Cricetulus griseus: one gene and its partners. The protein of the gene in region 7 interacts with the protein of the main gene of each other region in a pairwise test. Links are inferred from orthologs where the notes say so. Each region holds a gene or a part of one and is shown on either strand. Other genes may lie near its edges. The genes, in order: Gpr25, Syngr1, Slc7a1, Bnip3, Timmdc1, Slc38a1 and Fate1.

The links.
Region 1: the proteins of Fate1 (region 7) and Gpr25 interact in binary tests that used the Homo sapiens proteins (3 or more experiments, as listed by UniProt). The two-hybrid records come from large-scale screens. The link is inferred for Cricetulus griseus from reciprocal best matches to the Homo sapiens genes FATE1 and GPR25.
Region 2: the proteins of Fate1 (region 7) and Syngr1 interact in binary tests that used the Homo sapiens proteins (3 or more experiments, as listed by UniProt). The two-hybrid records come from large-scale screens. The link is inferred for Cricetulus griseus from reciprocal best matches to the Homo sapiens genes FATE1 and SYNGR1.
Region 3: the proteins of Fate1 (region 7) and Slc7a1 interact in binary tests that used the Homo sapiens proteins (3 or more experiments, as listed by UniProt). The two-hybrid records come from large-scale screens. The link is inferred for Cricetulus griseus from reciprocal best matches to the Homo sapiens genes FATE1 and SLC7A1.
Region 4: the proteins of Fate1 (region 7) and Bnip3 interact in binary tests that used the Homo sapiens proteins (3 or more experiments, as listed by UniProt). The two-hybrid records come from large-scale screens. The link is inferred for Cricetulus griseus from reciprocal best matches to the Homo sapiens genes FATE1 and BNIP3.
Region 5: the proteins of Fate1 (region 7) and Timmdc1 interact in binary tests that used the Homo sapiens proteins (3 or more experiments, as listed by UniProt). The two-hybrid records come from large-scale screens. The link is inferred for Cricetulus griseus from reciprocal best matches to the Homo sapiens genes FATE1 and TIMMDC1.
Region 6: the proteins of Fate1 (region 7) and Slc38a1 interact in binary tests that used the Homo sapiens proteins (3 or more experiments, as listed by UniProt). The two-hybrid records come from large-scale screens. The link is inferred for Cricetulus griseus from reciprocal best matches to the Homo sapiens genes FATE1 and SLC38A1.

Annotation. Positions count from the first base shown.
Region 1 is NC_048598.1:53,014,992-53,017,760, reverse strand, and holds Gpr25 (probable G-protein coupled receptor 25), read right to left. Parts: upstream 1,584-2,769; coding exon 501-1,583; downstream 1-500. UniProt on the Homo sapiens protein: Orphan receptor.
Region 2 is NC_048595.1:377,245,434-377,249,404, reverse strand, and holds the start of Syngr1 (synaptogyrin-1), read right to left. Parts: upstream 2,801-3,971; 5' UTR 2,745-2,800; coding exon 2,646-2,744; intron 1-2,645. UniProt on the Homo sapiens protein: May play a role in regulated exocytosis. Modulates the localization of synaptophysin/SYP into synaptic-like microvesicles and may therefore play a role in synaptic-like microvesicle formation and/or maturation.
Region 3 is NC_048597.1:84,248,643-84,252,625, forward strand, and holds the start of Slc7a1 (high affinity cationic amino acid transporter 1), read right to left. Parts: upstream 2,801-3,983; 5' UTR 2,669-2,800; intron 1-2,668. UniProt on the Homo sapiens protein: High-affinity, low capacity permease involved in the transport of the cationic amino acids (arginine, lysine and ornithine) in non-hepatic tissues.
Region 4 is NC_048596.1:62,077,188-62,080,687, reverse strand, and holds part of Bnip3 (BCL2/adenovirus E1B 19 kDa protein-interacting protein 3), read right to left. Parts: intron 1,064-3,500; coding exon 916-1,063; intron 312-915; coding exon 230-311; intron 1-229. UniProt on the Homo sapiens protein: Apoptosis-inducing protein that can overcome BCL2 suppression. May play a role in repartitioning calcium between the two major intracellular calcium stores in association with BCL2.
Region 5 is NC_048597.1:51,620,900-51,624,831, forward strand, and holds the start of Timmdc1 (complex I assembly factor TIMMDC1, mitochondrial), read left to right. Parts: upstream 1-1,132; 5' UTR 1,133-1,256; coding exon 1,257-1,450; intron 1,451-3,932.
Region 6 is NC_048595.1:393,090,570-393,094,069, reverse strand, and holds part of Slc38a1 (sodium-coupled neutral amino acid transporter 1), read left to right. Parts: coding exon 1-21; intron 22-2,030; coding exon 2,031-2,089; intron 2,090-2,204; coding exon 2,205-2,315; intron 2,316-3,500. UniProt on the Homo sapiens protein: Symporter that cotransports short-chain neutral amino acids and sodium ions from the extraccellular to the intracellular side of the cell membrane. The transport is elctrogenic, pH dependent and driven by the Na(+) electrochemical gradient.
Region 7 is NC_048604.1:3,690,889-3,695,119, forward strand, and holds the start of Fate1 (fetal and adult testis-expressed transcript protein), read right to left. Parts: upstream 2,801-4,231; coding exon 2,695-2,800; intron 2,200-2,694; coding exon 2,072-2,199; intron 1,149-2,071; coding exon 1,042-1,148; intron 745-1,041; coding exon 669-744; intron 297-668; coding exon 165-296; 3' UTR 1-164. UniProt on the Homo sapiens protein: Involved in the regulation of endoplasmic reticulum (ER)-mitochondria coupling. Negatively regulates the ER-mitochondria distance and Ca(2+) transfer from ER to mitochondria possibly implicating it in the regulation of apoptosis.

The DNA of each region.
Region 1 (2,769 bases), on a different chromosome or scaffold from region 7:
TTCAGGCAATACAGCTTCGAAGATGACCAGAGCGAAGAGAGCTGTCACTCCTCTCATTCTACCGAACATTTTTGAGGTGGCATTGCTAGAGGACTGGCACGGAGAAAAAAATTTCTCAGAGGGCAAAGGCTTTTGCAGGAGCAAGAATAGTCAGGGACAAGAAGGGCCTTTTAGAGTCTGGGTTGGAAGTTTGGGTTGAGCTACTAAATGAAGCAGAGAGGAAAACCCGCTTCCCTCACATCTAGAGCAGAACCAGCTCTTCTCCAGGTGGGTGTTTACAGCCTTTCTTGCCCTGGGGAAAATTAAGGAAACACGCCCACCCTTCCCACACCAATTGGCCTGCCTTCGAGAACAGCCAGTCTTAGCAGCCAGCTCTGAGAAAGCTGATGGACAGTCCCCGGGGCGCATCTGGGAGCACCGTCCCCCTCGTCTCTCTGGAGCTCCGTCCCCTCTCGTCTCTCTCTGGAACTCCGCGGCCCGGCCGCTTCATCTGCACCAGGCTACCAGGCAGAAGCAGAGTTCACCTTTGGGGACCGACCCCAGAACACCGAGCTGTCATCCCTGGAGAGCGAGGACGCTGAGCTGATCCTGCGCACCTGGCGCCCGGCGCGCGTGCACACCCCGAACCTGGCCCGGGCGCGGAACGAGCGGTCCAGCAGGAGGTAGATGACCGGGTTCGCACAGCTGTTGACAAAAGCCAGGCAGGTGGCGATAGCCAGACCCCAGCGCAGCGCCAGCAGCAGCTCGCAGGGCAGCGGCAGCGCCCGGAGGCGCGCCAGGTGGAAGATGGCGCGCAGGACGCCGAAGGGCAGCCAGGAGCCCACGAAGACGCTCTCCACGGCGAAGATGATGCGCAGCGAATTGCTCCGGGCCCTCCCCACGCGCGGCAGGCGGCGCGACACGCGGCAGTAGCAGGCCAGGGTGACAGCCAGCGGCAGCGCCAAGGTCAGCAGCAGCAGCAGGAGGCCGAGGCCCTGGAGCGCATCCGACGGCTCTTCGGCGCACTGGCTACCCACGCCGTCGGGGCTGGGCTGCAGCCCGCGGTACAGCAAGGCGGGCAGAGCGGCCAGGAACGCCGCAGTCCAGGCGCCGCAGCACGCGGCTCGCACACAGCACGGGTTCCGCAGTGGCCGCGCGCTAAGCGGCCGGCCCACAGCCAGGTAGCGGTCCATGCTCATGCCAGCCAGCAGCAGCGCACCCGCGCAGCGTGTGGCCGCCAGCGCGAAGCTACTGAGTTTGCACAGGCCGTCGCCGAAGGGCCAGAGGCCGCCCCTGGCCTCCGCCGCGGCCCACAGTGGCAGTGTGAGCACAAAGCCCAGGTCGGCGGTAGCAAGATGCAACACGAAGGTGTCCACCAGCCGCCGGGGCCCGCGCTGCCCGCTCAGCAGCCACACCACGAAGGCGTTGCCTGGCAGACCCACGGCGAAGGCCGCCAGGTAGAGCGCAGGGATGATGGCGTGGCCATAGGGCAGGTCCCAGGCCGGGCAAAGCTCTATTGGATCCAGGGAGCCAGAGCCCGAATAGTAGTAATAGTCCCAGGACGTCGTGCCCCAGCTGTGGCTCCAGGCCTCGGTGAACTGCATGGCTAGGGTCACTGGACCTGCGTGCACCCTGGAGCAGTGCAGTTCTCTCTGAGCAGAAGGGAGTTTGCTTTTCACGGCCAGTGCCCAGCACCTCCCTTCCTGCCACCCCAGGCCGAGGTGAAGGGGTGAGCAGGAAGGTGGAGGGGGAGAAGAGTGTGGGCCGGGAGGGGCAGACCTCTGTGGTGGAAATGGTGGCTTCCAAGTTGGGGCTGGACTGGTAACTGTGAGGAGATGTCCTTAGGGCTGGGAGACCTGTGGCCACTCAGTGTTGATGGCTCATCACTTCTGGGTGCTTGGCCTATTATCTGGGCCAGGGGGGGTTTAATATGGGGTTCAAGGGGCAATGAGTGCCCTAGAACTCTAACCTGTTCTCGGTTCTCACCAGGAGTTGCTTTTGTTTCCTAGTGTTTAGAGGGGAGGAGACAGACCAGGCACAAAGGGCTTCTAAAGGAGGACAATGCCTCATCTTCTGTCTCTAATTTGTTCTGCTGGGTAGCATACAGAGGAGGCCTAGAGGTTGAGGCAGCCTCTAATGATTCCTGATTAAGAATTGCCTCCTCCCCTCTCCCCTGCAAACTCTTAGACCAAAAGGTCTAGGTGTGTCACCTGGAGCGGCACTTCTGCTCTGGTTCAGAGCAGTGCAGAAGGGTTAACGCTAGAGAGGGAAGTCCTAGTTGGAGTCCCCTGCTGGAAAGGGCCCAGGTTCCTGGGTTAACCCTCTTCCGTCCCTATCCTTCAAAACCTTGCTGGTAAGTCAAACAGGGGCCTAACCTCTTACAAAAGATGACCCAAAATGGCCCCTAACAAAACAACAGATTTGCTATTCTAAATCGTGAGGTAGGAACTCAGAGACCCCTTGTGAACATAGGGGAAGGAGAAGGTTCGTGGATAAAGGTGTGCAAGATGTCAACTTGCATGGGATAGCAAGAGGAGGGGCAAGGGTGGCTGAGGGAAGACGTGCTTTCTATTCAAGGAGCTACACACAAATTCTTAACACAGATCCATCCCTTGACAGGCTGTGTTGGAACTAATGTTAACAATGCCTTCCCAGAGTCACTTCTGCTGTCACCAAGAATGAGTGACTGATGCATTGAGCAACCCTGGAAATTGGGGGGGGGGGGACTGGATTGTCAGTTTTGTTCCTTTCCATTCCATTAACAGTGACTTCTTCATGTGGCAGGCATTG
Region 2 (3,971 bases), on a different chromosome or scaffold from region 7:
GCTGGGACCATAGCTGTGGTGTGGTGGAGTCCTGGGTACCAGCTGCTTGTACAGGATTGAATGACCTGGGAATCTGGGGTTATGATAAGCCAGGAAAGTTCCAGTAAACCCAAACAAATCACTCCCCTTAGATCCAGACAGAGCGCAGGCTCCCTTAACTACATGGGGAAGTCTGCTGCTGCCAGACCCCACAGTAGATGAGAGACAGCATTGGGGCCCCATATCTGATGAGAGAGGGCATTGGGGGCCCACTCCAGAATTTGTTAAGCTGTCTCTACATACCACAGACTATTAGAAAAGATGGGATGGAAAGAACATGGCATGATGTGAAATTTACCCTCTCTCATTCTTTCTTTCCCTTGTTTTCCTTCAGGGCTGAGGTTGGAGACAAGGGCCTTACACTTGCTGGGCAAGTGGTCTGCCACTAAGCACACCCGCGCAAGCCCATCTTCATCCTTTCTAAGGGTATATTTCTTTTTTTTTTTTTTTTTTTTGGTTTTTCGAGACAGGGTTTCTCTGTGGTTTGGAGCCTATCCTGGAACTAGCTCTCCGTAGACCAGGCTGGCCTCGAACTCACAGAGATCCTCCTGCCTCTGCCTCCCGAGTGCTGGGATTAAAGGCGTGCGCCACCAATACCCAGCCTAAGGGTATATTTCAATAGTATTATATATAACATGTTGTCCAATCACCATGAATGATTTTTGTGCTTTCCAATAACCAGCAGGCATTACTTTAATGATCAGATAAGGGGGAAAAATGTTTTTACTTCTTTTTAGACAGACTCATGTAGCCTAGACTAGCCTTGAACTCTTGATCCTCCTGCCTCTACGTCTGAGATTTTAGAAACATTTTTCTCCAGCCTATAGTACATGCCTTTGCTAAAAGTATAAGGCACTTGGAATCCAGATGCATGAGCCGGGCTGTGACGTCATGAAGTCCTTTGGGCTGGAATTGAACTTGATCACCTTTACATCCTTTCCAATCTGGAAACTACAGGATTTGCAGTCTCCCCTGCACCAGAAACCCAGGTCTTTAGTGACAAGACTTTGGATTCAAATGCTTGTGAGTGCTAGGCTAGATTAATTAGTTTTTCCCTCCTGCTCAGCATTTCCTCCTTTCACCCCAATGTATACAAGTGTAAGCCCTCTGCATCCCACTAGACCCAACATGACATCATCTCCATGAAGCACCTCTATTCCACAGCAGGGAGACCCTGTCCTGGCTCCCTCCCCAGTGAGACTGTGGGCTCCCTGAGCATCATGGGCTGAGCCTGAGTCATGCTGCCTTCCCTCTGGGCCTGGCAGACTCAATAAAGCTTTGCTAAATGAAGCCATCTCAGGTAGAAATGACCCAAGCAAAAAAAAAAAAAAAAAAAAAGTCCATACTCCTTCACAAAGCTTGTGCTTCCACCTCCCAGTCAGGTGCCCCAGAGGTCAGAGGAAGCGGCACCTAGCCAACCCACCCCACCAGGATTCCCACTTTACCCAGGGTCTCCAGGGACTTCTGCAACTTGGGGAGCGCCAAGAATGAATAAATTCAGTGTCACAAAACCTCATGGATGTATCTGGGCTGCATGGCCAGAAACAAGGCTTCCTATAAGGAGGACATTTAAACATTTCCTAAGACCATCAGATCCTGACAGGGCCCTGAAAACCAAGAAAGGCACCTCAGCAAGCCTAGGTCACAGCTGACTTTAATCACAAAGGCCAAGGGTCCCTGACCTGTGTCACCAATCCAGGCTCTTCTGGTCTTAGCCCTTTAGGAGGGAGCCCCAGATATGCAGAGGCAAAACCCTCCTCCATGAAGCCAGACAATCCCAGAGGGCACCAGTGCCCACAGGCCTCCTCTCCCTCAGGTGCAAAGCCCCCAGACCGCCTCACTTCAAGCTGTTTTTGCCCCACCCCCCAGGTTTGAGCTGAGTCCCACTTAGCTCTGGGGGTCCTGCACCGACTAGGTGGGCAGAAGATTTCGACCAGACCGACCTCCTCCCTGCTCTCCACTGCGTGGAAGGGACCTTTCTCCAGGCAATACCTAGGCGCCACTCAGGAGTATGCTGGGGTTGGGAGTGGGAGTATTGTCGATTCATAAAATGTCAGAGCTCAAGGGGGCCTCTCCCAACCCTGTAAATCGAGAAACTAAGGCATGACAGAAGAGGTGACGCTCCCCACCCAGCTCAGAACTGAATCCCTCCTCGTTTCCCTGATTTTTCTTGGGTGGTTCCCTGCCCAAGGTCACGCGACGAAGCAGATGCGGGTCTCGGCGAAACCCTGGTATCCTGCTCCAGACTCAGCGCTTCCAGCGAGCCGGGTGAGCAACAAAACCTGGTTCCAGGTCCTCGCCCCGAACGCGCGCGGCAGGTGCGGCGGTGCGCCCTAGCGAGAAGATCCACGCCCTGATCCGCGCCCCCCAAAAGCGGCCTTGAACCCCGGCTCCGTCCCCACGGACGCGCGCGAGCCAAGCCGCTAGCTGCAAAGCAGCGACTGCCTGGAGGTCACGGCGATAGGACTGAGGAACTCAGCAGCAGGGGCCGGGAAAGCAGCGTGCGGCCGGGATCCCCTGCACTGGCTGGGCCGCCGGTCCCGGCCAGGTGAGGTCGCGCCGGTCTCCGGCACCCCGAGCCCCAGCCAGCCTTGCTACGTCCTTACCCAAGACACGACGCGCAGGATAGTGTGTGGCTGCCGCACCAGGGTGTAAGGGTCGAAGGCGCCCCCGGCTTTGCCCGCTCCGTACGCACCCCCTTCCATCGTGGCTGCACCGCGCGGCGCCCCCCGCTCGGCGCGCACCGCCGACCCGTGCGCGTGCGCGGCGCCTCCGCCCCCTCTCCTGCGCGCGGCTGGTGTGGATGGGGGCTTCCGCCAGGGGGCGTTCGTGCACGGCAGGCGAAGCTCGGAGCGCGTGCTATGGTGGGGGTCTCGGTGCCGGGCGCGCACCTCGCCAGCGGGATGACCTCTGCAAAGTGGCACGGAGTAGGGGTGTGGACAGAGAGTGCAGATGCGTCCCCGCCTTCGGGAGCCCTCCGAGCTGTAGCTCTTCTGGAAACCCTCTTCGTTATTTGTTTGTTTATTTATTTGCTTCTCTCCTGTCGCTGTCTGTCCCAAATAGAGTGAAGGGGCTCTAGTTTGACCGTACGTGGCTCATTGAACGAGCTGCTGAATCGCTGGTTTCAGGAATGATCCCCTCTAAGGGACCTGCAGAGCCTCTGGCCCCCAGAATCACCTTGCCTCCTCGCTCCACCGATGACGTCATGCATGCGCACCCCCATCTGGAGGGACCTGTAAGAAAGGCAAAGGCTGGGGGGGACGGAACACCACAGACCTTGTGAGATTCCATTCCCTCTCCACCACAGGTCCTTGTGCCTCTTTCCTTAATCCAGTAGTTAATTATGTATTTTATTTCTTATTACTGTCTCTCTGCTTGTCTGTGGACTCCAGCTGGTCAAGTTAGGTATTGTTTGCTATATCCAAGGCCTCACAAACAGTTGGTGGTCAATAAATACAGCCTAGTCCTCATGTCATCCTCCCTCTCCCACCCCACCCCCCAAATCCCAACACAGTTTGACCTAAGGGCTCCAGGGTTTGTTTGTTTATTTTTGAAACAATCTCTTGTAGTCTAGGCTGGCTTCTGGAACTCATCATGCCATATGGAGGGAGTTGATTTTGAACTTCCAATCCTCCTGCTTCTTCCCAACTATGGTGTTTCAGGTCTGTGTTACTATACCCCTCTGTAATGGTATAGAGAAATCTTTTTTTTTTTTAAAGAATTTATTTATTTATTATGTATACAGTATTCTGCCTTCATGTATGCCTGCATGCCAGAAGAGGTCACAAGATCTCATTACAGATGGTTGTGAGACACCATGTGGTTACTGGGAATTGAACTCAGGACCTCTGGAAGAACAGTCACTGCTCTTAACCTCTGAGCCATCTCTCCAGCCTAATGAGAAATCTTTGAGGCAACGATTATACTATGAT
Region 3 (3,983 bases), on a different chromosome or scaffold from region 7:
TCCCCTCAGGGCAGCACTTGCCCTCTCCTCACACAGAAATGCTAAGCCAATCTTACCTGATCTACTGCTAAAATTCATCCAGGCAATAGGCCAGGGGTGCAACTCGGTGATGGAGTAGCTAACATATGTTTAGCATGTTAGAGGCCCTAGTATTAGTCCCAAACACACACACCACCCTCCCACACCCACTCCCCACCTCCCCAGCCTCACATGTGGTTCAAAAGACCAAAAAAAGAAAACAATAAACAAAAACAAGGGCACTGGTTCTCAACCTGTGGGTCAGGATCCCTGGGGTCAAAGGACCCTGTCTTGTGTCAAATATTCTGCATATCAGATATTTACAGTGCAATTCATAACAGTAGCAAAATTACAGTTATGAAGTAGCAACAAAAATAATTTTATGGTTGGAGGTCACCACATGAGGAACTGTATTAAAAGGTGGCAGCAGTAGGAAGATTGAGAGCCACTCACTAAGGTGTTAACTACAGGTCCTGCCTGGAGTGGTGACTAAGAACTAGGTGAAATGACATTACAGGTGATGCCTGTGGGTGAGACGGCACAGATGTCTAGATGTCCCCAGGGTTACTGGACATTTCTTTCCCTAACAAGGACTTCCTTCTTCCCACTTCTCCCTAGTGTTAATAGACACCTCTATCTCCATGGTTAGTAAGGAGGAAGGTGCAGTTCACTGGGCATCTCACAACCATGCTGTTACTTGTTTTTACAGGGCTTAGTAAAAAGAGAACAGACTTAAACACCAATAAATAGACTTAAATACATCAGAAAATGTGATCTGTGGCCTACAAAATAACCCAGCTTGCCATGTGTCTGCTATGCAAGCCTGCAACCCAAGTTCGATCCCCAAGCCCCACATAAAGGTAAAAAAGAATGGGCTCCACATGTACAGTGGCACACACGTGCACATGTGCAGCTTGCGCACGCGCACACACTCACACGCATGCACACACACACACACACACACACACACACACACAAGAATAATAAATGAAAGCTGTTTTAAATTTTTAAATACTATCTGAGCTGGGGGTGTAGCTTGGTTGGTGAAGTGCCTGCCTGGTATGCAGGAGACCCTGGGTTGGATCTGGGGGTGAATGCCTGCAATCCCAGCATTTGGGAGGTAGAGGGAGGCAAGAGGATCAGAAGCTCAAGGTCATCTTTTGCTAAGTAGCAAGTTTAAGACCAGTCTGGCCTATATGAAGGGGGTGCGTGGCAGTGGGGTACAGGGTGAGGTGGGGGTGGAGAGATGACCATGTATCTTAGAAGAGAAATCCCTAATGGAATTAGGATTGTTTTCAGACCTTTAATAAATAGATAAATCTAAAACCAGCCACTGAGGTGTCTCTGTTTTCTATTTAACTCTTGTTCTGTTTGTTTATTTAAGCCCCCCTTATATGCCCTCTAAATTTCAGCCTTAGATAAAACATGATCTCAAAATGCTAAACTTTTCAAAGCTGTTTCAATCCACATGTTGGCTTTCCCCTAAATTTCTATTTGGGTCACATGACTTAAGCCCTTCGGTTTTGTTGACAAAAGGGCGTGCTCACATAAAAATAATAATTTCCATTGAGACCAACTAAAAATAACAGGGGGATGACTGTATCGTGGTTTCCTATTATCTTAACCACATATGAATGGCAAGAAATGTTAAAAAAAAAAATCCCAAGTAAATTACAAACTGACTCCATCACAGCTAGGATATGCAAATAGAAATAATGTTCGGGGTTCTAGTGCAACTTTACTCACCTTTAGGGAAAATATACCTATGTTTGAAATCCCAGCCCTGTCCTCCAGCACGTGAAAGTATAACCGTGGGTGCTGGGAAATGCAGTTTTTTTGTTTTGTTTTGTTTTGTTTTCCTGACGGCACATGTCAGGCTATCTCAACACGCCAGGAAGTGGACTGGAGAGAGCGATACTGGCACCAGGCTGCTCTGCGGACAAGCGTGGATGGTGACCTACCCGTGCCCAGGAAGTCTTCCACTACGCAGAGAGGAACACGCTGAGCACAGGTTGTCTATGGAGCCGGAAGAACTTCCTCCCACTCCACACCATCTGGAAGAACAGTCTGTGCAGGCCGAATCAGGTCACAAGGAAAACCCACCCGAAGAGTCCCTCCAAAGTCATCTCTGGGGACTACGGAAGCGACCCCGAGAGCGGGAATCCCAAGTCTCCGTTCACAGGGGACCGGCCTGGGGACCTGATGGAGTCCACCCTGCTCGCGGCTCGGCTGACGACACTGCCCGGGACCGCGTGGCGGGGCGGGGTGCCGCGCACCGCGCCATGTAAGGGAAGATCTCCCAGGCAGTGGCGGCTCCGGATGCCACCGGAGGCAGTCAGCGTAGACGAGTCCCCGCGCCCACGTGGAGCCCTTCACGGCCACGCGTGGCAAGAGTACCCGGGTCACCCGTGCTCACACCCCCTCGCTGTTGCATCATGCACCATGCCGTGCCTGCAAAGGACCAAGATGGACTCGGAAGAGGTGACCGGAACACGGGTGTGCGTCCCACGCACGTATCCCCGGAGATGGAGAGGTAAAGAAGAACCCTCGCCTCGCTTGAGCGGCCACGCCAGACCCTGGGTTCCCACACACAGAGAGGTGACCCAGGCTTTTAGAGCTTTCTGGACATTCACCCGAGTCGCGTACTCACCGAGAAGGCAACGGGATGCTGAGCTGGGTGGGGACCGCTGGTAAAGAACCGCTCACACCTGCTGGAGGAGGGGATGGCGCGCGCGGGAGGGATCCGAGCCGGTTTCATCAGCCGCGCGCCGCCCTCCGCGGGCCCCGCGGCCACGGCCAGTGTTGCGCGTCACCTTCTCGGCCACCAATGACAGCGCCGCGCGGCCGCGCCCCTGTGGGCGGGGACACCCGAAACCGGGCTTTCCCTGTCGCTTGTCCTTGGTCCCCAGAAGCTTCAAGCCTGCTTGGGCCAGAGTTGGTGGGTAACAGAGGCTGAGCTGTGCCAACCCCCACATGGAGAGCCATTGACAACTAACCTTACCAGGTTTCATGCTCCAAACTGGATGAGAGACACACTTTAAAGAAATTTTAGGACTTGGTTGTAAATCTTTTGTCGTTGGACTTCTTTACAATAATGCCCTAGTTAACGCCTCAGCCTCGCCCTTGTCAGGAAAGGCCCCAAAACCCCTCCCTTTGATATGGTACTTCCTCGCTAGGGCCAGTGGTGGCAGCTCACCCTGGAGGGACTCACCCCAGGCTTAGTACCCAAATCTCTTCTTCGCCTCCCAGACTCCTTCAGATCTCTGCTCCAAAATCAAGAACTACAGTCTATGGGGCTGAAGAGATGGTTCAGTGGTCAAGAGCGCGGACTGCTTTTCCAGTTCAATTCCCAGGACCCATATGGTGGCTCACAACTGTCTGTAACTCAAGCATATGATGCACGGACATATGCAGACAAAACACAAATACACAAAAAAAAGCTTTTAAAAATTAGATGCATATACATAAAGGCCCAATAATCATGGGACATGGGGTGAGGGGAACAGACCATATAAATACCGCCATGGCCTCGCAGTCTTCGTAGGAAAAAAAAGAGAAAAGGATGATATGTGTGTTCTTAAGCGTCCTTTATCAATAATGGGGGTCATTGTCAGCCACAGATATGATATTCCTGTGGAATTAACCAATGATTTATTAATTTATACTTCCCAGCAGACAGTTTTAATGAACACATAGAGGGAGGTCGATGACATAGGAACACTTTGAGCAGTGTTTGGAATTATAATAAGGCACCAAACACACGTTGTTTTAAAACAGCGAATGGAAAAATCACGCAGTGATGAAATGATATGACCGGTATGCCGATCTTGTAAGGAGGTCTCCTGAACTTTTGGAAGCCTTTATCAGCGGATCTCACTGTAAAGGGTATCCCAGTCTTCACAGAGGGAGAGCCTCTAATCTATCAGAGCCTGCCAGCTTTGCCTTCAGCATCCAATGAGAACTTG
Region 4 (3,500 bases), on a different chromosome or scaffold from region 7:
CACGTAAAATGCCAAGCACAGTGTAACACTTCTCAGCCTTGGGAGGCTGAGGTAGGAGGATTACTAGGGCTAACTTGCCAGGTGATCTAGCCAAATTGGTAAGCTCCATGTTAAATGAGAGACTCTCAAAATCTAAAGGGGAGCAAAGGTGTGTGTGTGTGATACCATGTAAAAGTCACTAGACTGATGATATGCTGAACTTTATAGCATGCTCCTACCTATGGCTTACCAGAGTGCTGTTTTTCTCTCCAAAGCTGTGGCTGTCTGTTTCAGCTCTGTTGATATCTTGTGGTGTCTGGGATCGAGGTGGACTTGATTAGGAATCGAACAAAACAGAGCAGCATGTTAATTCTGTCATAGCAAGCATAAATCCCAAGCAGGGCTATTGCCTCAGTAATGGGGGAGGTAGAGGACTCTTAGAAGCATGCCTCTTCCCCTGTGCCTAACACCAGAACAGGGCCAAACAATGAGCATAGGGAGCCAGCTACAGTTCTGAGGGACGCTCCACCCTCCTGCATGATCTGCTGCATAGCCCTCAGAAACATCTGACCTTCGATCACTGACTCTCAGCACACACCTTGGATTCACTCCCTAGTAGTGCTGCCTAGGAACACAAGCCAGCTGGGGGTCATGAACAAAACTACCCAGACTTGGTGTTCACACTGAATAGTTTCAAAACAGAGGCAGTATATTAAGGAACTTTTTTATTTGCCCCTAGGTTTAACATGGTCCCTCTAAACTGAGCCCCAGACCACTTCATCCCAGCAGACTCCAGGGTTCCTTATATCAAGGCTGCTTCCAGAGTTATTCTCAAATGTGGCCTTAGACCTGGAGGCCCACCCACAAAAGCATGCACAACTGCTATTATCCATCTGCTGAAACATCAACACTGTAGAAGACATCCAGCAAACCTACCTGTCACAGTGAGAACTCTTGGAGCTACTTCGTCCAGATTCATGCTGGGCATCTAGCAGTATTTTTTCCATGTCACCATTATAAATAGAGACGGAGGCTGGTACACTGCTCCCATTCCCATTGCTGAAGTGCAGTTCTACCCAGGAGCCTGAAGAAAACAAAAAGGGCAGTTAGAAATCTACCTACTCAGTCAAGCGGTGATGGTAGACACCTTTTTAATCCCAGCACTCGGGAGGCAGAGGCAGGCAGATTTCTGTGAGTTCAAGGCTGGCCTGATCTACAAAGTTACTCAGAGAAACCCTCTTTAAAAAAAAAAAAAAAAAAAAAAAAAAACCGCACAAAGAAAGAAATCTACCCACCAGCCTTGAGGTCATTTTGTGATGAGGAATGTTCTTCTGTGTATGTTTCTCTTATTAGTTAATGAATAAAACACTGATTGACCAGACAGGAAGTGACAAAGCTGGGCAGAATCCGGATATAAGCAGGGACAAACAGGAAATATCTCTCTTTCTGTGGAGATGCTAAGCAGTCATCATGTAGCAGGCAAAGGAGTTGCAGGTCCATCCCCAGCAAGAAAAGACCATGTGGAAATACATGGATTAATAGAAATGGGTCAGTAATTAAGGCAGAGCTAGCCAATAAGAAGCCCTAGCCAACGGCCAACAATTTCATAATTAATATAGTGTCTAGTGTCCGTGTGCTTCTTTGGGGGCAGAGAAGGGCAGTGGGACCTGCCTAGCCAAGAATTTCATGTTACAAGTTTGTGCTACAAAGATCCGAGAAACCAGGGGGGGGGGGCACACACCTTTTGTCCCAGGGCTTGGGAGGCAGAGGTAGGAGGACCTCTGTGAATTCAAGACTAGCCTGGTCTATACAAGTTCAAGACTACAGTTCAAGCCAGGATTACAGAGTCCCTATCTTGGGCCAGACAATGATAGGGCATACCTTTAATCCCAGCACTCAGATAGCAGAGTCAGGTGGATCTAAGTTCCAAGACAGCCTGGTCTATAAAGCAAATTCCAGGACAGCCAGGACTGTTACACAGAGAAACCCTGTCTCAACACACACAAGGGAGGGAGGCAAGGAGGGAAATGGATCCACTTATAATCTGAGTTGGAGATATAGCTCAAAGGTAGAGATTATAAAAGGCCCTAGGTTTCAATCTCCAGTACCAAAAGGGAGAGAAAAGGCAAGAGGATCACTTCAAGTTCAAGGCCACATGGGCTACATCAAGCAAGACTTTGTTTCTAAACCACAAACCCCCACAAATTTCCAAAAAGAAAAAGGAACTATGCATGGTGGCAGGTACCTATAACCCAATAGAGAGAAGAGGATTTAAGAGTTCAGAGTCAGGGGGCTCAGAGGTTAAGAGCACTGGCTGCTCTTCATGAAGACCCAGTTCAATTCCCAGCACCCACATGGCAGCTCGCAACTGCCTGTAACTCCGGTTCTAGGGTATTTGATACCCTTACACAGTATATACAAGCAAAACACCAATGTACATTAAATAAATAAATGTTAAAAAAAGAGATGAGGGCCACCTTCAGCTACCAGTTTAAAGAAATCTGTGACCTGTGCTACATGTGACCAACAATATCCCCTTAAAAAGCCAGGCATGATGGGGGCATACCTGAAATCCCAGAATTCAAGAGAAAGAAGTAAGTTTGAGGCCAGTCTGTTACACAGAGCCAGTACCAGGTCAGCCAAAGGTACATAGTGAGTCTCCAAAGCAGAACACACATTCACGGTCGCTGGAAGCAAGAACACTATACAGCTTCCAGAACCCCAAAAAGAAGTGCTTTAACACTCAGAAACACCTGGCCAGTGTACTTGTTGCAGAATAGGTCACAAGGGGAGGGAGCTCAGAAATAAATTGGATTTACAGTTTATACCATCAACAGCCTCTCAGTAAGCTAAAAAATGATTATACAATACAAATTTGAAAATAAACACAATTTTCCTCATTAGCCCTCAGATTGACTCATGGAGAAGCAGGCATAGCCCACATGAAGCACAATACCAACTCAGAAGGGCAGAGTCCAGAGCCCTCTGTGGCTGTACACAAGCAGAGGCCCCAGTGCCCTCTGAGATCTGCAAATCCCCACACTCCAGTTCCAGACACACTAATTTCTTTTGCTGGCCTTCCTCCCTTCACTGGCTGATGATACTCAGAAGCCAGGGATGGTGGCTCATACCTAGAATCCCTGCAGTTCTGAGTCACTAAGGCAGGAATGTTGCTCTGAGTTCAAAGCCAGCCATGGGTAGTTCAGTTCCTTTTGTCTAGGCAGATCTAGTATTCAGAATCTGAGCCAGTTCCAATGTATATTATGAAGCTTAATGTTATCCAAATCTTTTCTGGTATCTAGCAAAGTTTGAGATTGTGTTATCTTCTTCCCAGCACCCACTCCTGATGGCAAATTTAGACTTTTCCCTACACCAACTACCAATTTTCCAAATTCAATCAGAGGAGTCTAAGAATTCAATTATATTCTGACAGTATCGCCTAAAATTAGTATCCAATCCCATAAATTAAAGGCTGAAACCCACAAGGATGCCCCATGTCAGACACCAGCCACAAGCAGAGT
Region 5 (3,932 bases), on a different chromosome or scaffold from region 7:
CATTGGCTATGGCTCTTCCAGAGGTCCTGAGTTCCAATTCCCAGCAACCACATGGTGGCTCACAGCCATCTATAGTGCGACCTGATGCCCTCCTCTGTCAGGCAGGTGTATGTGCAGATAGAGCAACATCTACATTAAAAAAAAAAAAAAAAAAAAAGTGTGTGTGTGCAAGAGTCCAGAATTGGGTGTATGGTGCTCTGGAGCTGGAGTACAGATGTTTGTGATATGCCTGGTATGTGCTGGGAATCATGCTGTGGTCTTGTGAAGCCCGGGTTGGCCGGCCTCATATATGACTCAATCGGGTCTTGAATCGTCCTTGGCTTCCTAAAGGTTGAAATTGCAGCGCCGCTTCATCCCGTGAGAGGGCATTCCAATGAAAACTAGACTTCGGAGCACATGTTAGCAGAAAATAACAGGAAATATCAGTACCAGATATTAAACGATAAAAGTTCCAGATGTTATGCCTTCTCGCATATTCTCGCAGTAAGCGTACGAATACTGTAGCGGAACCCACGCTAAGGAAAAAAAAAGATGCCCACAGCTGATGCTTCACAAAGCATCCTCAAATCTTGGAGCTCCTCAGGTGCGCCCTAATGTCGGGGGAAGGGTGGACTGTGCTCGGCCCACCAGAGCAGCGTGGTGGTGCACGGACTTCCACTTGCACTGGATAAACTACCGTCGCCTTCTGTGTGGCCTCTGTGCATCTCTTTTCTTTTCTTTTCTTTTTCGAGACAGGGTTTCTCTGTGTAGCTTTGGAGGCTGTCCTGGCACTTGCTCTGGAGACCAGGCTGGCCTCGAACTCACAGAGATCCACCTGCCTCTGCCTCCCGAGTGCTGGGATTAAAGGCGTGCGCCACCAACGCCCTGCGCCTTTGCGCATTTTAAACGATGCCACCTCACTACAGTCGTGAGCACTTCAGGCGGAACGGAGCCAGGCCCAGTAGACCGCACCGGCGGGGCGGAAACACCTCAGCACCTCACTGAAACGCCACCGCCGCCAACTCAGTTCCGGGGCGCGACTACCCGAAGCGGAAGGGCTTTCAGCCGGGGTCCGGCTGTCGTCCCTCCCCTCGGCCTTTTGCGCGACGAGGGCGGGACTTCCTGTCTCGTGCTTCCGAGTGCCTCCTGCAGCGAGCAGGCTGGCGACCGGAAGTGAGGTTCTGTGTCGCGAGCTCACCTCTGCTCGGCTCCGCAGGTCACCCTCTCCCGCGGCGCTCGCCAGCCCCTGCGTGTCTGTCCCCGGGTGGGAGGGCGCCATGGAGGCGCCGCCGCCCGCGCCCCGCGGCCTGCTTAGCCCGGCCTGGGGTCCTTTCTCCCGAGTCTTTGCTGCGGGTGCTGTGGCTGCGGATTCCCAAGACTTTGCGGAGCACCGGGAGCCGCATCCCTATGTCTCAGAGCCGGGTTCCCCGGAGTCCGGATGGGACCGCCTCCGGCAGCTGTTTGTCAAAGAGTAAACTTGCCTCGGGTGTGTGGGGAGGGTGACTCGGGGGTCCCCGCAGCGGGCCAGTGTCGCTCGCCGAACGTCCTCTCTGCCCTGGAGATAGCCGCCTCCCGTAGCTGCTCGACACGCTGGTTTTTTGAATCAGACTCATTCAAAGTCACGCTCTTAAAATAGCATCGTACTCCCAGTTTTATATATTAGAAAAGTTGAGTCAATCCGGTTATTGTCCTGTAGTGATCACCGGGAACTGTATTTGGAAGTCCACACTAGCATTCTTTGCATATTTCACTTGCTCTCAAGCTTTGGTCTGTCTTGGCCAGTCGTGGCCCAATATACCTCAAGTGGGAGCTGGGGAAGGGCAGAGAGAATTGTCAGTTTATTCTTATTTTGCACAAGGAACTGAACATTGTGACGACTGCTCTCCTTCCCTTCTCTGCTCTTTCCTACCTCTCTGCCCCCGTGTTCTCACCTCCGTTTTTAAAAATTGTGTATGTATATATGTGGTTGGGGGTGTGTGTACGTGAGTGCAGATGCCCTCGGGCCACAGGCATCAGATCCTGGTGAATTTGGGGTCACCTGTAGTTTCAAGTCAGCTGACATGATTCTGGGAACTGAACTCAGGTCCTTCTTAAGATCAGTACGTGATCTTAACTGCAGAGCCACCTCTTCACCCCGCCCCCCCCCATCTTTTTTGAGACAGGGTCTTGCTATGTAACCCTGGCTGTGTATGTAGACCAGTCTGGCCTGGATCCGGAAGCAACATCCCATTCTCAGCCTCCCAGATTCTGGGATCACAGGCCTGAGCCTCTCGGCCCAGCGGCTCTCTTTTGCCCTACTGGGGGATCAAACGTTAAGACCTCTTGAGCCCCAGGAGCTACCCTCCCAGATCTACCTCACTTGCCAGAAACTAGATATTAAAATAAACAATGTGAAGAGCAAATGATTAGCTCTTTGTATTACTTTCACCTAATATCTACCCTCATTTATTACTAGAGAAAGTTTATCATTTCTTGAAGTAATTTACCATACTACACTGTGTTATCAATTGAGTAAATAAGTTGGGCCAGATTTATATGTAATTATTCTATTACTTTTCTTTTTTATTTTGTCTTTTTAAAAATTATATTTCTTTATAATTATATCTCTATATGTGTATGGGTGTTTTGCTTGCATGTCTGCGTGTCCCATGTCTGATAATGTCAGATCTCCTGGAACTGGAGTTACAGACAATGTGAGCTGCTATGTGAATACTAGAAATGGATTCTGGGCCCTCTGCAAGAGCAGCACATGCTCTTAACCTCTGAGCCGTTGCTCCAGCCCCTCATCATCTTTGTTTTAGTACATAATATGTCAGATTTTTCTCAAAGGTCCTTCCAAAAGCTTGTATATTTTTGAATGATCTTCTGTAGTGTATATGAGATTTATTTTAGTTTTTGAGTCCTGGGAGTCTACCTGTGTTGTAAGCCATAATGACCTCTTGTTTCCATGTCTCAGTTGCTACTATGGCCCACAGGAGATAGTCGTTTTGATCATTATTACAAACCACAGAATATTGGAACTAAAGAAAGCTTGAAAAATAATGTTATGCGATTTTTATGCTCTTGTCCATGATGTGAAAGGGAAAACCAGGGTTCAGAGCGATAGATCTGGCTGCATGCTACAAAACAGATCCCAGATTACAACACTGTCCTATGTCTAGTTCCATCCTGTTACTTAGTCCTGTTACCTTTTCGCTATTCTTTAGCTGCTTGGACTGAGTTTGTGACATTTTAGAGTCTTTATTGTTTTTATATTTATTTAATTTTCTTTCTTGGAGGATTTTGAGATGGGGTCTCAGGTAGCCCATGTGTAGGTAAGAATGACCTGATCTTCTGCCTCCACCTTCCAAGTGCTGAGATCACAAGAGTGTACTGCACACTCAGTTTGAGCCTTTACGGCAGTAAAATTGAGGTAAATATTACCATCATTGAACTATTCAAAGGACTAAACAAAGAGGCAAAGTGTGGCTGTATTATACTTCAAGTCCCTTTACATTTTTTTTCTGAGTTTTACAGTAGATCAGTTTTTATGTAGATGAATTTTTAAAGTTCTGTTTAATATAAAATAAAATTTAAATTATAGCCACTTATGAATGTAAATGTAAGGATTTGTTTTCTAGAGTTTTAAGTTTTTTGTACATGAAGGAAGAGTATAGTGATTGAGAATCCCACACTTTCAAAAGAAAGCTAGCAATCTAAATACTGGTGCACATAGGGTCACTGTAAGAGTGCTGTATTGTTTAACTATTTTAAGAGTCTATCCTGGAAACTTCCTGGAAAACTTTGTAGTTTTTATGTATTGAGAGGCATAATTTGAATGAAACAGCTCTTCCTTATTTTAGATTGGCCTGTGCTGCCTATTACATAGTAAATTTTCTCAGTACTTTTTTTTCCCTTTTATGATTTTAAAGCTAGGCATGGAGGCATGTGCCTGCAGTGTCATCACTTGAGGT
Region 6 (3,500 bases), on a different chromosome or scaffold from region 7:
TATGTCTCTTGAAGAACCTAGGTGAGCAAAGACCTGACCTTTATCTCAGGCTCTCTCTAGTTCCAGATGAATCAGGAACATTAGAAAATGAACACCATCTGAAAAAAAAAGAAAGAAAGAAAATGAACACCTTTGCCTGCCTTCATTAGGATAATGACAAGATAAATCATAAATTGCAATTATTAATGAGGCCTGATCTTAATGTGAGATTAAAGACATGATGTGATTTTCTAAGAAGTCCCTGCACAATGCCAGAGCTGGAAGGACAGCGGTTCTGGGACTGGAATAGACTCTTACTGTTTTCAATAGCATAGCGTACAGGCTGCTGTAAGAAAAGTCCAGAAAATGGAATTCTCCTGTAAAGTTCTGTTCTTTTTTTGTTTCATGGTGTTGGGGATCAGATCCAGGGCTTTGTGCAGGCTACCCAAGTCCTCTACTACTGAGTGACACCCCTACCTACATCCTGTGAATCCAGACACAGGGTCTCCCTAATTCTTAACCTCAGGATCTCTCCACTTTGGCTCCTTTGTAGTGTCTAAAATTCTGATCATTCATACTCAGACATTCCAAATCTGCTAGCAAGGCAGCACAGAGGTGTTACGAATCACACTTCAGTTTAGAGTGTAGCCAGTCTCGGTGACTTCACCCATCAAAGGAAAAAAGAGAGAAATTTAAAGTTAAAAAAAAAAAAGGCAGATGATCTCCAAGTCATCCATTTGGTCTTGACATTTGTTTTTATGCTTATATTTGGAGACAGGCGTGCCTGGAGTTACTGGGATTTCATACACTGAATAATGAGGCCAGATTGCCATCTCCAAACGTTCCGAGATGCACTTTTAAAATCTGGGCTAATTCAAGGCAAATGTTTGGATTGAAGTTCTCTCAAAAATAATTATGAATCGTAGGAGGTTTTGATTATTTTTTTGTCTTAGTTTAGCTAAGATATCTGAGAGCTGCATGGTAGCTATGAAGTTTACAAGTAGATTTTTCTTAACTACTTATTTTTGTGCTCTCTGTATTTCTGTGGGCTTTTCTGACCCTCCAGTTAGTATAGAGAATGGTCCTTTCCCGGAGTGTAAGAATAATGTAGTTCACGGGAGTATATCTGTCATTATGGAGATTGTGGTGACCACCTTTCTAGTATTCCAAGAGGAGTAAGGCCCACAAATGCTCTATTTAGGTGGTTCTCAACCTGTGGGCCACTCACGATCCCTTTGTGGGGGCAGTGCCGAAGAACCCTTCAGGTCACCTAAGATCATTGGAAAGCACAGATATTTACATTATGATTCACAATGGTAGCAAAATGACAGTTACGAAGTAGCAACGCAAATAATTTCATGCTGGAGGAAGGTCCCCACCCCATGAGGAACTATGATAAAGGAAGCCTTAGGAAGGTTGAGAACCACTGCTCTGTTTATTCCTTGAAGCTTACATTGACTTGTGTTGGCCTCTCATTGAGAGAGAGTTTATCAGTAACATTGAGGATTTCCACAGTAGATGCTCAAGAAAGAGCTTCGGTTTAACACTAGAGTGCACCAACACAGAGACATGGTCAAAGCCAGGAGGCTCCTTCCTAGATTCTGAGATCTGTGTCCTAGAATGTGCCAAGGATGTCTGGAATCAAAACACCAAATATGCTTTTACTAAAAGCCCTACTATCACTATTATTATTTTGCCAAATAAAATAGCACTAAAAAATAAAATATCTTGTTTTCTTTTTCTTTTCTTTTTTCTTTTTTTTTTTCTTTTGGTTGTCAGAGACAGGGATTCTCTGTGTAGCTTTTGTACACCAGGCTGGCCGAGAACTCTCAGAGATCTGCCTGCCTCTGCCTCTCAAGTGCTGGGACTAAGGGCATGCGCCACCAACACCCAGCTGATATATCTTGTTTTCATATGGACACATGGTCATATCGTGAAGTCCCAAACATGCTTGAAGTAATATGTACACGTAATTGATACTTTTAATACTAATGATGAATATTAATAATTACATTAATAAAATGCTAATTGATTGTTTTCTTTTTTAAAAGGGTACCTTGGCTACACTAGTGGATTTTCCTTGAGCTGCATGGTTTTTTTCCTAATAGTGGTAAGTTCTGATTGAAGCAATTGCTGTGGTTTTTATGTTCAAAGCTCTGTAATAGTTGTTCATGTTTTGGCTTTAATTCAGTCTCTCTTGATTCTCCTGTGTTTCTCAATACCAGGTTATCTACAAGAAATTTCAAATCTCATGCATGAGTATAGAACAAAACTCAACAATAAGTGCCAATGTCACTGACATGTGTACGCCAAAATACGTCACCTTCAACTCAAAGGTGAGTTTACTTGTTTAAGGGCACTACTCCTTTTGCTTGTTGTAATCACCTGTCTGGAGATACTCATCTCTAAAAGGAGGCACAGCATTGTTCCTCTGTAATTTACAATCCATTCATACCTCTTTAGAAACACACAACACTGTTGTGCATACACTCATGCTCACATAGTCACACCCTTTATCTGGCTTAGGTCAACTTTCATATTCTTGTGACCATCTCTCCAGATAGTTGTCTCCACATTTCTCTTCCTGTGTGGCATGCTGATTGGTGCTCTGATTAATCACGCCCTCAGGCCACTGCTGCTATGTGGAGGTGGCAGAGGAAACACTCCAAAATGGCACTTTAAAGACGTTTGTACTGTTGGGATTTGGTTGGCAGCTTGGAAGACAGTAGTGGCCTATGTAGTCAGTCACACAGGTTGGAATCATCAGGGGGCTTTCAACTGCCATGTAAAAATGATGGTCCTACCTTTGTATCTCGGGTCCCAGTTGGAAGGTGCTTGGTACAGTTAAAGAAGCTATGTGACCTCCCCTTTCTTTCTCTCAGACTTTTTTTTCTTTCTTTCTTTTTTAGGTCTTTTTTTTATATAAAAAGATGGGTTTGAGCTGGGTGTGGTGGTGTACCCCTTTAATCCCACAACTCAGGAGGCAGAGGCAGGGGGATCTTTCTGAGTTTGAGGCCTGCCTGGTCTACAGAGAGAGTTCCATGACAGCCATGGTGCTTACACAGAGAAACTTTGTCTCAAAAAAAAAAAAAAAAATCCCCCAAGAAAATTAACAGATGTCTTTCTTTATTGATTCTAAAAATTCAGCCAAAGTAGTAAGCTGTGGAACTAATTTTTTTTCTAAATGCAATCTTTTTTTTTTTGTTTTATTTGTTTTTTGAGATAGGGTCTCACTATGCAGCCCTGGGTGTCCTGGAGCTTGCCTTGCAGACTAGGCTGGCCTTGAACTCAGTTCCCTTTGGTTCCAGAGTATAGGGATTAAAGGTGTGCATCACCGTGCTCAACTTAGATATCATCTTTCTAAGTGTGCAGTGGGCAAGTCACCTCAGTTATTGATGGATGTCAGAGAATAGCAATGCCCTGCCCTCTGCTGTCATTTGCATTCGGGTTCTGTGTACCTGGCTAGTCCAGCACAAATACAGTGAAGGTGTGCTGGGATACTTGATGCTCACCATGGGAAC
Region 7 (4,231 bases):
GAGCGTATCTCCAGGCAGAAGGCCCAAGCAGAGGGGTAAAATGACCCAACTGCTACCTGGGGGGCTGCTGGGAGATAGAATGGCGTGGATAAGGGCATCCTTGAAAGCAAAGGGAAGACGAAAGAAAGGAATGGCTCTAATGGGGTTGTGGTGTTTGTGAAACTTTACTGACGCATCCAAAGCCACAGGTTGGCTATGCAGACTGAGACCAGCAAACTAAAGAGCACAGCCTCCTTATGGCGCCACGTGGCATCCTGGTCCTCAAGGGCACGCAGCCGCCCAGAAATCACTTGCATCTGTGGAAGGACCAAACACAGGACTTGTGAGCAGGAATCACTCTTATGAGAAAGGCAAGACATAAGGGTAGGGGGAAAATATGACCAAAACCAAAATGAATCTTTGTTCCCCCTTCCACATCCTTTTCTCTTCCCCAATTCCTGTCCAGCATCTCCAGCATAAAGGAAAGTCAAGGGTGAACATCAACATGAGGTACTCAAGGCATGAGGCCTGAGAAGAACAGAAAGGAGAGCCCAACCTCACTTCATTTGCTACAGGATATGATTTGGACAAAGGCTATGAAAACTCGGGGGTGGCTTTGTTCACAACTGCCAAAATCACCCACTCCAAAGCACTATGATGCTTCCTCCAACTATACAACAGATGCTTACCTGCCTTCTCATGACTTCCATCTCCAGCCCATTGAGTTCTTCCAGGCCAATCTCTGCCACTAAATCTGCCTCCAGACTGTTGGAAGGAAAGGTTACATGGCTCAGAGGTGTTGGTGGCCATAGAAAAGACACAGAGCAATAAGGTATGCCTGAAGGCTTTTTGGATAAAGATCCCAGTCCTTCCCTTGTGTAGTAAAGAAGCCGGAGGCTTTGCCAAAGCATACGTAGATCCCAAATGGCCAGGAGGCAATAGTATCCCAATACTTCAAGTATATACATCTGCTTCTCGACTCGGATGCTCACTAGTCCCTATGGCCCTACCCTCTGCTTGTTCCTCCCCCAGTAGCTAGGAACAAGACAATTGAACTCTTACCGCTCATAAGGGACCCTCCCTGTTTGGAAGTTGCCAGGAAACTCCTGGAGATAGCCATCCACCTGACTGTGATCTCTTGGCATCCGGGGCATCTGCACCTGATGACCCTACAGAAAGAAAGGATACACCATTCCAAGTCACCCTTTTAGCACCGCATTGTGCATGAATCAACAGTACACCCCATAGGAGCCCCATGATGTCATTTCATCTTCCTGTGCCCCCCCCCACACACACACCATGCCTATTGGTAGCTTCTAGCCTTGTGTGCTGTGCCAAGGAAAATGCAGTGACAGGCTTCTCTGTCTTTTGGTAGAACTTTTACATGCAGGCATCCCTTGAAAACCCAAGCTACCTACTGAAGATGAATGTAAACCTTCAAGATGATTTTAAGTAATTTAAAAGAAAACATCATTTCACACCTTGGAAGTTTATAAAGAATTGTATAGTCATCCCTTGGTATCCATGGAGACTGTTTCTAGAATAAACGCCTCACTATGGTTATGCAGCTCTGCAGATTCCCAAGTTGCTTGTGTAAAAGGTCATAATATTAGAATATAGCATAATCATATCTTTTTATATAATTGAAATAATTACTATATTATTTATAATGTCTAATAAAATGTAAATGCCATCTAAGTAATTCTTATACTATATTGTGTAGATAATCATTGCAAGAAAAACATCTTGCATGTATTCTCTAGAGATGTAATCACTCCACCTCCACCCACAGACAGTGTCCATCTGTGATCGATTGAGCCAATGGATGCAAGACCTAGGAATGTAGAGGGTCAACTATAGATGCATTTTCCAGTCAACATGTTTGCTAGGCATGCAGACTTCTAGCATTGAAGTCCCAGCATTATACAGTACAACCCTAACCTTCCAATGATCTACCCTTCATTCATTTGCTTTATTGGTATATGGAAGCTTCCTCCTCCTAATGATCAACTTCTAGCTATATCTACCATGGGAATACAGGAGCCCCAAAGTAAGAACTTCCCACCCTAAACTAGCCACCATTTGTCAATACCCCTTTCTTGGGACGAGGTCCAGTCACATTCCAAAATGACTGGCCTGAACCAGATCCAGCAGGTTTTTGCTCTGCCCTTGGACGTCTTTGGATTCCTCCCAGTGACCGGGACCCACGTTCCATCATTTCTAGAAAGAAGAACAGAGACTGCTATGAATACTGCTTTAAAGGTTTTACCAGAACTTTCTGGGTACTGAAAACAGCAGAAATCACTCAATACCCATTCACTTCTGATGCTCAGCCTATTTGTCCATCTGTTCAACAGGTCAGTATGTATTTACTGAAAATCTGGCCCTGGGCCTAGGATTCTGTAGCATGAGCAATGATCAAGAGATGAAATCCCAAACACAAACCATCTCTATGTATGAGAGAATAGGAAATACCAATAATAAAATCTTCCATCCATGTAAATTCAGATATGTAAATGGTTCATGAATGATTAAAAACCAAAACAAGCTAATATGGCAAAAGAAAAGCATAAATCAACACTGAAATACCTAAAACAAACGAATAACCTTCCAGACTAAGTAAACAGCATGCACAATGACTGGGATGTTGTAGAAGCAGCACAAGTAAACGCACATGATTAACTATACCCAACAGGCTTTTTAGGGGATTCTCACCTGACATCACTGGTTGTTCTTGGCTTTGGTCAAAGTTTCCAGTCCCTAGATCTTCAGAAATGGACATTTTATACCCTTCTTTGACATTGGAAGGGCTTTCTGCCATCACCACCAGGTATTCATTTGTAAGGTTGTTCAGGGTGGATGGCACAGAGAAGACACTTGGAAGCTCGCCTCTTCCAGGGGTAGAAATGTGAGGGAGATATACTGGCACAAGAGGGTGGAGCCAGTTCTCCCTCTCTGTGCTCAGGCCTTGGATTGGCACCTTGAGTTCCCACTGTATCTTGTTGGTGGGTCTCGTGGCCGCCTTCTCTTCTGCTGTGTAAGCAACTTGGAGATGAGATAGTGCTCTAAGTGGTACTGTTTTTGTGAGCTGCCCTGATTCATCTCCCCTTGATTTTGCTACTCACGGGTAGGAGGATCCCATCCTCCATCATGGTCTAGAAAGAGACAAGGGCTGGCATACGGCCCAAGCATCCATAAGTGCCCAAAGCAGTGACAGGTCCCATGCTTATCATGGTTTCTACAAGCCCATGACTGGCCAGTAATCTAGGGTACAGCACTCTATCAGAGGAGCTTCTCTGTACAGAACATCCTGCCTCCTCCAATGCAGAGTCTTCAAGCAAAGTAGATGGCCTTGTCTGATATGAATCCTGGGAAGGAAGCAGGGAGGGGCAAGAGGGACATGCTGGGCTTGTGTACCCTGCTGTATGTTTCAGCTCTGCCTCAGTTTTTCTACAGATTAGACCAGATGTATGTGTCAATTTAGTCAGGTTCTGATCCCCAGTGAGTTTATCAGACACTCAACTCTCAGTATTTCTGCAAAGGTATACTGCAGCTGTGATTATTATCCCTAATGGACTTTAAATAAAATGGCTTCCTCCCAGTCAGGTGCTTGTACTCAACCAATGTGCTGAAAGAATCAAGTGCAAACCTTAAGGAATGGGTCAGTGAGTGGGATGACCCCATGCCCCAAGGTTCCCAGAGAATGAGGGAAACCTGCCACCACAGCCTGCCCTGTCAGGGTGCTGAGAGGCATTGGAACAGCTTCCATAGGCTCACGCCGTCCCGGCGCTCTTGGGCCTTGGACTCAGCACTCCCAAGATGATACAGACAGATCCAGATAAAGAAAAACCTCTAAAGGTTTACACTGCATTTAAAAATATATGTAGGCTTGTGAGAGAAAAAATAACAGGAGGAAATAGAGTAGCTGGGTGTGGTGGCTCACGCCGGTAGGATTTGCTGAAGGAAGCAGAGGCAGGCAGATTTCCACAGAGAAACCCTGTCTCAGAAAAAATAAACGAAAGATAGTAAAAATAAAGTAATAAAAAAGCCACATAAAGACGGAAAATACACAGAGAATCTGGATACTATATGCCATATTGTTCTCTTTAAATTGTTTGATTGCCAAGGAAAGACTTACTGCTGCTAAAATACATTTGATTATAAATGCTGCTAAATTAATCCAACTTATACATTTCAAAAATGTTCTAACTTCAAAATTTAAGATTAAGGACAGGGTACTTAGAAATAAAGG